Linked DNA regions of Mus musculus: region 1 is reported to be linked to region 2. The links are microRNA targets in miRTarBase. Many come from high-throughput screens and were not tested one by one. Region 2 holds a microRNA gene; the other region holds the end of a gene's coding sequence.

The links. Region 2 holds the annotated microRNA mmu-miR-878-3p (GCAUGACACCACACUGGGUAGA, at 4,603-4,624, opposite strand). A microRNA usually pairs through its seed, bases 2 to 8, with sites in the 3' UTR of a target mRNA and lowers its output. Matches are read on the target gene's strand: a 7mer-m8 pairs with bases 2 to 8, a 7mer-A1 pairs with bases 2 to 7 and ends in A, and an 8mer does both.
Region 1: miRTarBase lists Mterf4 as a target of mmu-miR-878-3p. The part of its 3' UTR that is shown has no 7-base or 8-base seed match.

What each region holds. Positions count from the first base shown.
Region 1 is chr1:93,294,987-93,302,088 of GRCm38, reverse strand. Mterf4 (mitochondrial transcription termination factor 4) reads left to right here. Exons shown (of 4, transcript NM_178051.4): 4 at 294-884. The coding sequence ends at 629. It overlaps Sned1 (sushi, nidogen and EGF-like domains 1), which reads right to left. Exons shown (of 31, transcript NM_172463.4): 30 at 6,288-6,369; 31 at 5,641-5,822. The coding sequence ends at 5,811. Among named protein-coding and RNA genes, the nearest start is that of Mterf4, 7.3 kb to the left of the region's middle.
Region 2 is chrX:66,796,916-66,804,036 of GRCm38, forward strand. Mir878 (microRNA 878) reads right to left here and starts at 4,670; the gene lies at 4,593-4,670. It overlaps Mir463 (microRNA 463), which reads right to left and starts at 2,382; the gene lies at 2,308-2,382. Mir880 (microRNA 880) reads right to left here and starts at 3,692; the gene lies at 3,615-3,692. It overlaps Mir881 (microRNA 881), which reads right to left and starts at 5,106; the gene lies at 5,029-5,106.

The DNA of each region.
Region 1 (7,102 bases), not on the chromosome of region 2:
TCTTAGGATTTCTTTGGGTCTGATTTTTCCTACACTCATGATTTTTGTTGCCCTATTTAAAGAAAAGTATATCCCTGTATGCCCCTTTGTTTTCTGATGCATTTTTCTCAGCTTGAATTTGGAAATGCTTTGAAAACTTGAGATTTCATAAAAGTGTTGGTATTATACTACAGTGGCTATTCTACCATTTCTAATTAGGCAACTAATGACTTTGGACTAAAGTTTGTTTTGAGTTGGAATGACAGGCTTCAGGTTTCTCTACATGGATTCCTGAACATGTTTGTATCTTTCAGTATGCATATTTCAGGATGGGACTCACACATCTAGACATAGTCAGGACGAATTTCTTACAGTATTCAATAACCAAGATCAAGCAGAGACACATTTACCTGGAGCGCCTTGGACGGTACCAGACCCCTGATAAGAAGGGGCAGACACAGATCCCTAATCCCTCACTGAGGAACATTCTCAGAGTTTCTGAAGCTGAGTTTTTGGCCAGGACAGCCTGTTCCTCTGTCGAGGAGTTTCAAGTTTTTAAAAAACTCTTGGATCAAGAGGAGGAGGAGGAGTCTGAGAGCCATGCATCTGAGGAGGAAGAGGAAGAGGAGGAAGAGGAGGAGCTACTGTGACACAGCACTGGGGTGTCAGAGGTCATTCTCATATTCTCGAAGTGCTGGGGACCTTCACCTGGATCTTCTCAAGCACTTTTGATCCCAACACTGGTATTTTGATGGGGGAAAAAACCAACCTGTAATGATCCACTGGAGATACAGGTAGATAAACCAAACCAAATGAGGGGTGCTTTGTTGTGGGTTCTTTGGGAGGCCCTACTCCATCCTAAATAAAGGACTCGGCTGTCAAAATCCAGGGGGTGCAACCCTTCCAGGTTGGAGTCTTTTTCTCTGTTAAAATAAGTTGTGCTAGTTCCAAAACCATGTGGAGAGAGAGGTGCCTTTCGGCTCAGGAGTACTTTGTATGTCCAGGTAGTAGTAAAGATGAAGTCATGAAATTGAAACATGAGGGTTAGTATGTCATAGCACTTTATTTAATGAAAACAAGTAGCAGGTTTCCCACACAATAGGCAGCTTCTAAATCTGACACCATTTCCCAGCCTTCTGACGTGTTGAGTGTACAGCAGAGTGAGAGGCAGTTGGTTACGTTAGTAACATGTCCTTTAGTCACACGGTTGTCAGACTAGCAAAATGCTTCTCTGTCAGTTGCTGACCCTTCCTGCTTGGGCAAGTTGGCCTTCATGTTGGTTCCTGGCTGGTTGCCACTTCAAGGCCTCCTATCTTTCTGGCTCTGTAGACTGTGCTAAGAGTGAGCTGCTCAGAGACCAGCACTGGGGAGCACTGGGCAGTGTGGAGTGTGTGCAGTGGAGCCATGTGATGTACTGGGACTAGGATGAGGTGAGCTGGAGGAGAGGCCTGATTTGGTGGAGCTCAGGCTTAGAGGGTCAGAGAACTGAGGCCTCTTGGAAAGTTGTCTGTGCCTCTTCCTCAGGAAACTGCACAGGGTGATGCAGAAAGCTTTTTGGTTATAGGATCAAAGTCAGGAGTGCTTGGTAGTATTTTTCCCCCATTTGGTGACATTTAACAGTCACACGAAACCCAATGTGGGCCTTGTGTTTAGACTGAATCCAGTGCTTACGTGAGGATGACCTTAATCCTCCAGACATCTGACAATCTTTGGGGATTTGTGTGTGTGTGTGTGTGTGTGTGTGTGTGTGTGTGTCATGGCCTCAGGATCTTGTGGTCAGAGCCAGGGATGCTGTAAAATATTGTACATTGCACCGCATAAGGAATAATTAGGCCCACAAAGCAATGCCAAAGCTGAGAAACTGCTCAAAGACCTGGCCCACAAAAGTACTGTGACTACAGCTAATGTGTGTTGTAAATGGACCTGATGTATCATTTCTGTCTAAAGCAGAGATACTGCTGGATCTGAGGTGCATTTTGTGAGGAATCAGCACCAAGGTGAGGCGGCTCTTGACTTACCTGGAACCTGACTGCAAAGAGGAGGGTGTTTACAAAGAAAAGCAATCATTCCAAGATTCCTCCCCCCACCCCTACCCTCCACACACACAGTTCTCACTATGGCAGGTATGTGAGGCAAGCTCATTCCTGGCAAGGGCGTGTCCTTGCCTGTTGGACTCTCCACAGAAAGCAGGACGTAGCAAGCCATCTTCTCTACCCCACATCCCATAGGCAGTAGAGGGGAACGAATGCCTTCTGCCTGTTCTTGGCTGTGGACAAAGCTGTTTGAGAACAATGATCCATTCTTTGCTGCTTACTCTTCCCATTTTGTGGTCTTTTTGTGATCGACACTCTCCTCCCTGAATGTAGGGTGTTTGGCCTTGGACTCATCAGAACGGAATAGAATCCTAACTGTGAGCTCAATTAGGTAATCTACTCATCTTCAGTTTTGATTAGCAAATGGTGAGCCCAACAACTCATAATTACTTCAGTTGGACACAAAAATAAATCTCCACCTTGTCTGTTTGCTGATTCCACTATGACATTTCCCAAGTGGACGCTGACTGTTTTGAGGGATTTAATTATTCTGTGTAAGAAAGCAGAGACAGCATGTTTGGAATGATGTATACTAATTCCTCAGCACAGGCAAGTCTTTCTCCACTCCAGTTGGAATGATTGCCCGACAGCGCCACACAGCAGGCTGGCTCCAACTGGAGATGGGAATGTGGCAGCATCGGCTTGGGGGTGAGAGTCCTGAGGTATAGTACGAAGATCCCATCTACGTTCCCAGAGGTGCTGCTTGATCTTGCTGTTCACTGTTAACACTGTAGCTTACTCGGTCTCCAGATCTCTAGTGGGTATCTAAGATACAGTAGTGAGTTTTTGATGTGACTGACCCTCCTTGAAAAAGAAAAAAAAAAGTAATACATAGGCTCAGAATTTTCTAGTGAGAATAAAATGTAAAAGGTTATACTTCAAAGTATGTTTTTATGAACTGTGGAGGGCAGAAGGCCTCTCTGGTCGGGATGCAGTTCTTGGTGCTGGTGCTGGTCAGCTCTGCTCTCATGGAATCTAGGTGTGGTTGGCTTTTCTGATTGTGCGGTCACTGCAGGGAGGAGGAAGCTGCTTAGAGCCTTGGGAATGGGATGGAAAGCGGAGGCTGTGTAAAGAAAGTATTTTCGTTTTGGTGGCCCACAGCCATCTACTTCAGGCGCAGATTACAAGAAGCCTTGGTTGGACCCTGTGTCCTGCAGCCGGCCTGCCCTGTGCTACTGTGGGCTGCGTTTAGATTTGAACTGATAGCTTTTGCTGCTCTATGGTGTAAGTATGTATACCTTAGGCTCCTGAGCAAGGGTCTTGATTGCTTTTCTTCTATGAAAGTTTAGGGGTTTTTCATGTCTTGATGGCTACTTGTCATTCAGGAGATAGCATTCTCCACAGAAGGCTGAAGTCTAGATCATCTTATAAACCAGGCACCTGCCTGCCAACTCTAGCCTACCGCCTGTTTTCGTAAATGAAGTTTCATTGGAATGTAGCTATGCTATCTACATCTGTTACCATGTTGGCAGTACAGTAGCAGGGTCACGTGTGTGCCAGAGAGGTCATTCTATCTTCGAAGCCCAAAATCCTGCCTGAGCATCTGACTGCCCTGCCACCCCTGAGTTGTAGACCAAGTGTCTAAACTCCACCATAGTAGTAATTAGCACTTCTTCTTTAGGTCAGTATAAATGAGGAGAGGAGCAGGGTAGAGGTCACCTGTTTCCACACAGCCTTTCTTGTATTTTTTATGAAAGTTGAGTCTTTTCCTTCTCCATGTTTTGGGAGTTCAAGGGTCATGTCTCTGGCACGGGGATCTGGGGGTGGGTTTCTGAGCACAGAAGCACCACTCACAGAGCCTGGTAACCCAGGTAACTCCCCACAGGGGAACTGACCAGAGCTGCAGAAACAGCAGGCTGGATTGAGATGGCAGGTGCTTCAGTGCTTCCCCGGCAGGCGGCTTTGGGTGTGCAGGTCTGGTTGTCTCTTTTCTGGAAATCTGAGGACAGAGATCTCAGGGGAGACTGCTTTCAGCCAGGAGCTTGGCTTTTAAGTTTTGGACATCATTTTCCTGAGTTTTGGAAATCCGGGAGGTGGGCAGTGTTACCAGCACATGCTGGTCCTTTTGAAGGAGTAACAGTGAGCTGGGGCACACTCCTCTTTGTACCCACTGTCTTTCTCTGGAGACAGCAAGCACTGTCCCCAGGAGCCAGATTTCCAGCCGGCTGGGATGCAGGGAGGGATGGACAGGAGCCACGCACCCTGAGGACACTCGTGCCCAGCCTGGGGCTTTGCATCAGTAGGCTGCTTGGCCCTCTGCTGCCTTTCTTTTGGCGGGGATGGCACTGCCGGCTTTCTCAGGGCAGCTGTGGGTCGCAAATTCTGGTGTTTTTCTTCAGAGAAAGAGAAAGGGCTGTGTGTAATGTGTGTTGCTCTGAGAATAGGAATTCTATAAGCCATTATGTGGTAAGTATCTAGGATTCTCTCTCTCTTTTTTTTTTTTATAAAAATGGGTTTTCTGGGTGAGTTCGTAAAAGATGCATTAATATTTCAAGTGACTTATTACCATATAAATATTTTAAAACCAAATAATTTGTGGATTTTTTATCTTTGCCAGATGTGTTGCTCACAAGTGTTGGAGGGTGTTTTGTGTGCATTCTTGGTGCTGGGCTGAAAAGGCGATGCTGTTGGGTGCACAGGACTTGAGTCTTGTCGGCTGTTCTTCCTGCAGAGTTTCACATCTGAACCGGTCAGGAGGCACAGGCCCTGCTCCCTAGGCCCGTCTGAGAGCCTGCCCTCCTGATGCCTGCCTGATTTCAGGGTCCGACTGTGAGCTTCTGTCTGTGCCTGTCACTGTCACTGCAGGCACTGTTTTCTTAGGATGACCTTCACCCGGAACTCCATTGCTTTTGTTTGTTCTTAGGCCTTTGGGTGACATTTCTCCTTCATGTCCTACACTATAGAAGAAAAAGGTGATAGTCACTCCTGAAGTGGGAGCTTTCCAGATATGCCTCTCTTCCACCACTGGAAAGATGGACTGCCCTGGCTCCTCCAAGGGAGAGGAGTAAATTCTCTCTGGCTAGCCAGTCTGTCATTCCAATTATGCCAATAAGTCAGTGTGGGGCTGTGTTCAGCCTATACAGGGATTTCTGTAGTGTAACCCAGTATTTTCCAGACTACTGTGAAAAAAAAAATTCCAATGCCCTTTAACATCTCACAGTTTATGCTTGGGGAGGCGGGGTGGGGCATGCTGGATCAAACGGGCAGTTTCTTTGATTTCAGGGTTATTAGTGCTTAGAATTCCAGGGTCCACTCTAGCACCCCCAGAGAGAGGCTATATTTAGGATCTCCTGCAGGTTACATGACAAGACTCCCGCCCTAGTCTACCAGCAGAATGCTGCTCGTAGGGCTTGGGGGTATGTCCTTAGGTCCTTTCCTTTGGCATTGTTTGGACTGTTTGGCATCCTTGATCCATCTGCCAGCAAGGCCCATGGTCCTGAAGGGGCCAGGTGATTCTTGTACCTCATTGTAACTGGTCTGCAATGAGAGAGTCATTTCCACCTGAAAGTAGATTCATATGCAAGCTCAGACCAGGTTATGTCTATTGAGAGGCTATAGACAGGGAATTCTGGAACCTTCCTGGTTGGGTCTGTAACAGCACAGTGCTGAGTTGTCACCATCAGTGTCTGATAAAGGACCTTGGTGTCCAGGTTGCTGGGTGTGATGGTGTCTCCAGTTCTCAACAGATCTTGGTATGAAGGAGAATGATTTCCTTAAGATCTCTTCAGTGTTTGACTGTTACTTTGTTTCCTGAAAGAATTAAGAAAACCAGTTTGGTGAGAAAGACTCTTGTGTACCTGAAACCCTACCTCTGTCAGCCTCATCGGTTCCTCATATGTAACCCAGCGAAGCCCTCACAGGCTGACAGGGAGCCTGGCCTTTCAGTCCAGCTGCACACACCAGCTGAAGGATGCTATGGGATGAGCAGAAAGCAACCAGGCATTGTGGGGGGACTTCAGGTTAGGCACTGACCTGTTGGTCACATTTCATGTTTTCCTGTCAGCACCACATTCCCTGTGCAGAACGGCAGTGACCACCTCCAGGCACAGCTGGGCCTATCTGTGCACTCTTGTGTGCACATGTGGGCACTAGATTCTGAGTAGAGTATAGCCACACATGGGCTGCAATTTTGGGCAAACAACCTAGCTTGACCCAGCCCTGTCACTACCCACCCACAGAACTGCATGCACAACCTGGCCTGGCCCAGAGATGCACCTGTTTGGGTTTCCTGAGGCTTGTGCTCTGGCAGCGCTCCTTAAAGCACACGTCCTGGTGAACTTTGTAGACTTTCTTATACCTGTTGTCACAACAAAACAACAAAACTCTGTGAGGCCAGACACTGGGGCAGAGAGGTGGCCAACTCATTCACCTAGGCTGTGTAGCCTACATATGGACAGAAGGAGAGACCACTATTTTCTTAATACAGTGTTACTGGGGTGTGTGTGTGTGTGTGTGTGTGTGTGTAAAAAGTCTAATATAAAAGTACAGGGACTTAAAAATTAATTTGACTGAGTATAACATACATAAAAAAGTATTCATTTCAGGGTACATTTTCATGAGTTGCTGACAAAATCGTGGTATTGAAAAGCCCACTGAAATTCCTAGGCAAATGGTTGGACCTGGAGGGCATCATCCTGAGTGAAGTAACCCAATCACAAAAGAACTCAAATGATATGTACTCACTGATAAGTGGATATTAGCCCAGAAACTTAGAATACCCAAGATATAAGTTACAATTTGCAAAACACATGAAACTCAAGAAGAATGAAGACCAAAGTGTGGACACTTTGCCCCTTATTAGAACTGGGAACAAAATACCCATGGAAGGAGTTACAGAGACAAAGATTGGAGCTGAGACAAAACGATGGACCATCTAGAGACTGCCATATCTAGGGATCCATCCCATAATCAGCCTCCAAACGCTGACACCATTGCATACACTAGCAAGATTGTACTGATAGGACCCTGATATAGCTGTCTCTTGTGAGAATATGCCGGGGCCTAGCAAACACATAAGTAGATGCTCACAG
Region 2 (7,121 bases):
TCTGTCACCTTCAATTAGAAATCATAACTCCACAATTCTTGCATTCTTACCTCATTTAGTAGTAAATCTTAGAGAATACCTACCAATTCTACTATATCATGATTTTCTTTCACATAGTATCATCTTATGTCACCATTTCTATAAATAGTTTTCACTACAGCTAATATTCAGTTTTTTTATTCAAATTAATACATCCAGCACGTTTTACTTACTAAAAATGTTTTTCCCTTACAATATATTCTGATCATGCTTTCACCTATTCTCAGATCTGCCCTACCACCTCACTCATCAACCCCAAACATCTTTCCCTTGATTTAAAAAAAATGAACTAGCAATAACACAAAACTCATCAAAATGAAAGTTAAAGAAAAAGCAAAAATCAGAGAAACAGTTACCATTACAACTATGCATGAAACATATATTTATTATTTCTAAATACTAAGGATAGTAAAACATACTTTTACCTTGTCAATCTTGCAACCTAGCCTATATCATATTCTTTTTTTTTTCCTATATCATATTCTAACACCATGGTGGGAAAGACATGCGTACATAAATTACCTAATTTTTATTTACTTATTTATTTATTTTATTTATTTCCTAACTTAATACCCTCCATTCATATAGTCTCAAAATTATTTGTGAACCAAATGATAGTAAAATATTATCATATAAAAGAATAATATTTCCTACAAGATCAAATGGCCATCTAAAATCCCAGAAGCCCCAAAACTTTAAGTTTTGGAATACCATTTTCATATTCACGAAGCCACAATAAATGAGTAAAGTTTTCTTCCACTTAGAGGTAAACACACATTTATTTCTGTTAATTGGAAAATTATATTCTACTTATAAATACTATAAAACTAGATTAACTTAAGGTTAAAAATAAACCAAAAATGTGAAGTCCCGCTTAAAACTCTTAATTATCACTCAAAATTTATCAATTCACCCTACAGCATAAAATATAAACCTTAATTGTATTTATATGTCCTTATGAAATAATTCTATAGTATTCTTTCCCACATATTTCCATCTAGTTATTATGAGCAGTTATTTGCACGAATGGCTGTCAAAATTGAGATTAAACCAGGAAAAGCTCATGATTCCTCAATCCTACACAAAGAACTATACACAACTAGAAAAGCCAGTATTGGGAGATGTCTCCTAACTCCCAGCACTCATGGAAGAACATTCCATTTGGTTGTCTAGTGCAAAACATTCATCCTGAAAACATACAAACAAGTAACACTATACAGACTTAGCAGAATATATTTAGGAATAAATAGCTATATAAAAATACATCAATACATTCAGTAACAATTATTGACAAACATCATCAATTTGAGGGAGAGCAGGGAGGGAAATATGAAAGTGTTTGGAGGGAAAAATAAGAGGTATAAATATTATAATTAAATTATAATTTAAAAATATACTGAACTAAATCTGTAATTTAAAAACATGTAATGATTGTTGTATCTGAATGTTTATAAATCTTGATGTGTCTGCAAGGTTAACATTAAAGAATAAATGCCACATGAAACTCAAGAAGAATGACACATGAAACTCAAGAAGAATGAAGACTGAAGTGTGGACACTATGCCCCTCCTTAGAATTGGGAACAAAACACCCATGGAAGGAGTTACAGAGACAAAGTTTGGAGCTGAGATGAAAGGATGGACCATGTAGAGACTGCCATATCCAGGGATCCACCCCATAATCAGCATCCAAACGCTGACACCATTGCATACACTAGCAAGATTTTATTGAAAGGACCCAGATGTAGCTGTCTCTTGTGAGACTATGCCAGGGCCTAGCAAACACAGAAGTGGATGCTCACAGTCAGCTAATGGATGGATCACAGGGCTCCCAATGGAGGAGCTAGAGAAAGTACCCAAGGAGCTAAAGGGATCTGCAACCCTATAGGTGGAACAACATTATGAACTAACCAGTACCCCGGAGCTCTTGACTCTAGCTGCATATGTATCAAAAGATGGCCTAGTCAGCCATCACTGGAAAGAGAGGCCCATTGGACTTGCAAACTTTATATGCCCCAGTACAGGGGAACGCCAGGGCCAAAAAGGGGGAGTGGGTGGGTAGGGGAGTGGGGATGGGTGGGTATGGGGGACTTTTGGTATAGCATTGGAAATGTAAATGAGCTAAATACCTAATAAAAAATGGGAAAAAAAAGAATAAATGCACCTTACTAAACTTTGGTCCTTTAGATACAAATGCCAAATTAAGGCCAGCAAGCTCTAACAAGGGTTAATGCTTCTATACCACAATGATGTTCCAGGTGATGAACATAGTGAACCTTCCTCTACCTTATATGGTGTCTATCATCATTTATGTTTTACATGATGGACAACAAATTAGGTAAAGCAGGGTACATCATACCTTTAATATAAAAATGTTGCAAATGTAGCTTCCATGATCCTCTTTATCTTTTAGCAAAGTACCAATTGTACATTGTTGCTAAAACTTGACATACTTTGTGTATAATATATATACATATATGTACACACACACACACAATCTACAAATTGTCACCAAAAATTCCTCCAAGAGAATATCCTCTGATGTGTCTTCTGTTTCAATTAATGGTATTCTCTACCAAGACAATACGGGGGACTGTAATTTCACTTATATAAGTTAGAATTTCTCGTTGAAGTTATTTTTCTTCCTCCTGTAACATGCAAGTATTAAAATAATTATTAGATTTGTGTGTTCAGCAAGGAATAACTACAGAACCCATAAAAATAGAAAAAGGCCACTGGGTAGAGAGTTGTGAGAAAAGCTTACTAAAAGGGTAACAAAACACAGGTGGTATGGAAGAGGAAAGGAGACTAATGGGGGGGGGCATTGTTTAACTGTGGAGCAAGGTAAGATTCTAGGATAAGTGAGGGAGTAGGGAAGAAATGAGTATCACAACTCTGTTTTAAATATCCATATAAGAACAATATATGGTAGATACAGTGACCTGTAGTTTGCGTAGATGATTGCCAACACTGTATCTGTAAAATTAAATTCATTTTATTAATTCATATGAAGAATAAACTAAATGTTTTGCACTTTTATGCTTACATACTTGTATATATTCATAAGGTGAGTACACAAATGAAATCTTCATTAAATATTGCCTTACCCAATATGGGATATCATCTTTTATGTTTCCCAGGGTGCACAGAAAATTAGCTAAAGCAGCATACATTATATGTAAATGTTGAAATGTTGAAATCTAGCCTCTACAATCCCCTTTTTATCTTTAGCTTGCATCAAGTTACCAACTCACATGATAACTAAATGCTAGTCTAATTTGTTCATGCATCATCATGGATTCCATCAAGAACCTATCTTTTTAACATTCCTCCAGCTTCAGAAGAATGGTTTTCACTAGCATGAAAGTTAGCTGACTGCCATTTTCTCTGAACCGTAGTATTTCCCAAAAAGATCATTTTTTATCCTTCTGTAGTCTGTTCACTCATCCAAGCTATCTAAGGTGAAGTGTAATACATTGAAGCTGAAGACTGGAAAACACATCTAATATGCATGCATGTATCAACCTCACCATATCCATACATGAGACATTTACAGGTACCAAAACTGGTGATTGGTGTGCCTTACTCTACTCAGAGAGGATGGAGTAACATGCAATAGGAAGTGACTCATATCAATCTGAGTATTGCAGTGCACACAGTTTGTTCAGTGATGTCCTGTGTCTCAGCTTGATCCCACAATCTTCAGTATATTCCAGCAATTATATAAATATAGTTAGATACATCAACAATACCTTATTTATTCATAGGTTTAAAAGGACTATACTGCACTTTATCTTTCACAACTCTTCATATTCTATGATCTATAGTATTTAACTTTATACATGTATGCACTAATAAAAGTACCTTATGTTAGCACCTTTCTTTACATTATTTAACATGAGGTTCATAAGATTAAGAACAGACTGTCCAAAGAATGTTAAAGAGAATTTAAGCCATCAGATATCAAAAATTCCTCTATAAATAGGAACTTCAAGTTACCTTGGTTACATACAGAGGCCATTATATGAGTTACTTGCTGAACCTTCCTTTAAGAAAATCCATGGTCATAAGGACTTCATCTCATCAGTACCAATGTTAATATAAAAATGAGCATAATTGTATTTAAGTAGACACTGTCACAAAAGCTTCCTTCATCTCCTGCCCATTTTATTACATAGTCATCAAACCACAATGTTTGAACTCTTCTGTAATTTAGGCTTAAAATCATATTATCAAACACCTTTAGTATGTGTTTCTCATACCATAAATCCTTTTACTTGCCTTCTTCTAAGGGAAATGACTGTCAAAATAAAGAGTGGAGGTTTTATAAATGTATTCATGTACTGGGAACTGTGTTAATGTACTTTATTTTTTCTTGTCTGACTTAAAGAGATTCTTTCTGACACTAACACAACATTCCTTATGTAAAGGTAACAATATAAATACACCTAGAAACACAATATGCATGGTTCTATTTCTGTGCAGCCAAACTAACAGCAGCATTCATTTATCAGCACTGTGACCACCCAAGCCCACAACAAATGAGGAACACTGTGAGCCCTCCTCTACCCAGTGTGGTGTCATGCACTTAAGTTTCACGTGTCTTGACATCCAACTAGATAAAGCATTGCACACAACACTCTTTTCATTAACTTGCTGTATAAGAAGCCTCTATCATACACTTCAGCTTTTATCAGAGACTAAATTAAAAAAAAACATGATAACTATCCTTTGACATAATTTGTCCATCTACTTTTGAGAATAATTAATCACTCTCCTTCACCACGCTTTTACATAAAGCATGTCCTGTAACTAACTTTCCTTTTCAGTGAATAGTTATACTATCCAGAAAAATAAACAGATTGCATCTTTGTATATTAAGATGATCCCCAATGACGATTGAAGTTACCGCCGTATCAATCTTGAGGATGTGTTATGATACAGTGCCTCCTGTGATCTTCAGTGAGTATATCACTAAGGCTGTTTTTGGTGAACATTACTCTATTCAGAAAAGACACAGTTACTTTAGAAAAGATGTGACTGTTATCTCTCTGAATATTGTACTGCACACAATTTGTTCATTGAGTATGAGGAATAGCATCAGCCTGTCCCAAACACCAGCATATTTCATATTATACCACACTCAGATTGTTAATATGAATGTTAATGTGACCACATATTCTAAAATCTCATTCCCAATCATATTTATGACAACCACAGGCCTTCTGACATACATTCTTACAAACTAGATGTTTTGGAGAATCAATAATATAATCTTTAACTAATTTTTATTTTTTATAGGGTATATACTTAATCCTGTCCTTTTTTTTATAATCTAAGACAATTAATGATTAAGAATAGGAATCAAAATAATCACAATGCCTCTTTCCTCTATCTTGTAATATACCACTATATTAAGTTTGCATGATGATGATTCTGAATAGACTGGGTTCAATTTGTGGTCATCCATGACATAGGATGCTATTTTCTAAGACTTAAACTATGCATAAAGGACACTGACATATAGGCACTGCAAAGAGAACAACTTTGCTGTATTTGAAGGTGATGATTCTTGTTATTATTATATCACTAGAACATTTATCAGTCCTGTGTGACTCCTGAACCCTGAATTAATTTATTCCTAACATATTTAATTGTGCTTACGATATGGTCATTCATCATGCATAACAAATGAAAGCCTTTGATCCTATATTGTTACTTACTTCGTTGAATCGAATGACCAATAATGCATGTTTATTTCATTTCCAATTTTTATAAGTAAAGTATTTTTATGTTGTCTAATACATGTGAGTCAACTGAACAAAGAATAGAAATAAAGTCATCATTAATAAACCCTATGAACTAGAAATATCACAGGACTACTTAAGATTATTAAAGACCAGCCAAAGAAATTAGGAGCTATCCAAAGGTCAATATCCAGAAGTTTAATAAAGTAATACACTTGGTGAAGCTTGCTCTTAAAAGAGTTGGTTGCATTTTACTCAATCTGGAACAACACTTTGCTCCCATACAAACAAGAACATTAATGTATAATGAATAAGTTATTCTGATTTTAAACTTTAAGGAGCATGGGATAAACTAGGAAACATACTTCTAGGTTTATCACTGAATATGCTCCTAGAACAATTAGCTGACTGGAGAACATCATTCAGAGTAGGAAGATACAAGATAATCCGGAAACAAAAATATTTTTGCATTCAAGTCTTTGACTCTTTCAGAAAAAATTGAGATACCCTAGCTGCTGATTGTTGTCAGGCTTCTTTGATTTGACCTTGTAAAGTGGACTAAAGAAAAAGAATGAATCAAGCTGATTATTAGCACTCCTCCTTGACTTCTTACTACAAGATACAGAAATAATGACTAAAAAGATAAGTAGAAATTATGATCAAACAAAAAATTGTAAGTGAATAAAAAGCATAGTGAAAATCTTCATAAAAATTAAATTGAGATGGAATAATTAAGATTGATGAATAGCAATATGAGCTGGTTGTTTTGCATCAACCTGGTATAAACTCATCCATATCTGGGAACAGGGAATCTTAATTTTGAAAGTACCTGTGAAAGATTGGGTTATAGGTAAGTGTGTAGGGCATTTTCTTGGTTAATGATTGAGAGGATTTAAGTTACTATAGTAGTACCATTCCTGAGTAGGTAATCCAGGATGGTAATAGAGAGAAAACTAAGCAAGCCACGGAGAGAAAGCCAGTAAGCTTCACTCCTTCATGATGATTTTTTTCCCCATGTTTTACTGTTTTATAAAAGCAGACATCAAACCCAGATGCTATTGTGGATGCCAAGAAGTGCATGCTGATGGACTGGCTCTGCCATAACCTGACAAACACAGAGGTGGATGCTCACAACCAACCATCGGACTGAGCATGGGAACCCCAATGGAGGAGCTAGAGAAAGGACCCAAGGAGCTTAAGGGGTATACCCCCAGAGCTCCCAGGGACTAAACCACCAACCGAAGAGTACACATGGAGGGACCCATGGCTCCAGCTGCATACATAGCAGAGGACTGCCTTATTGGGCATTACTGGGGGGGGGGCCCTTGTTTCTGTG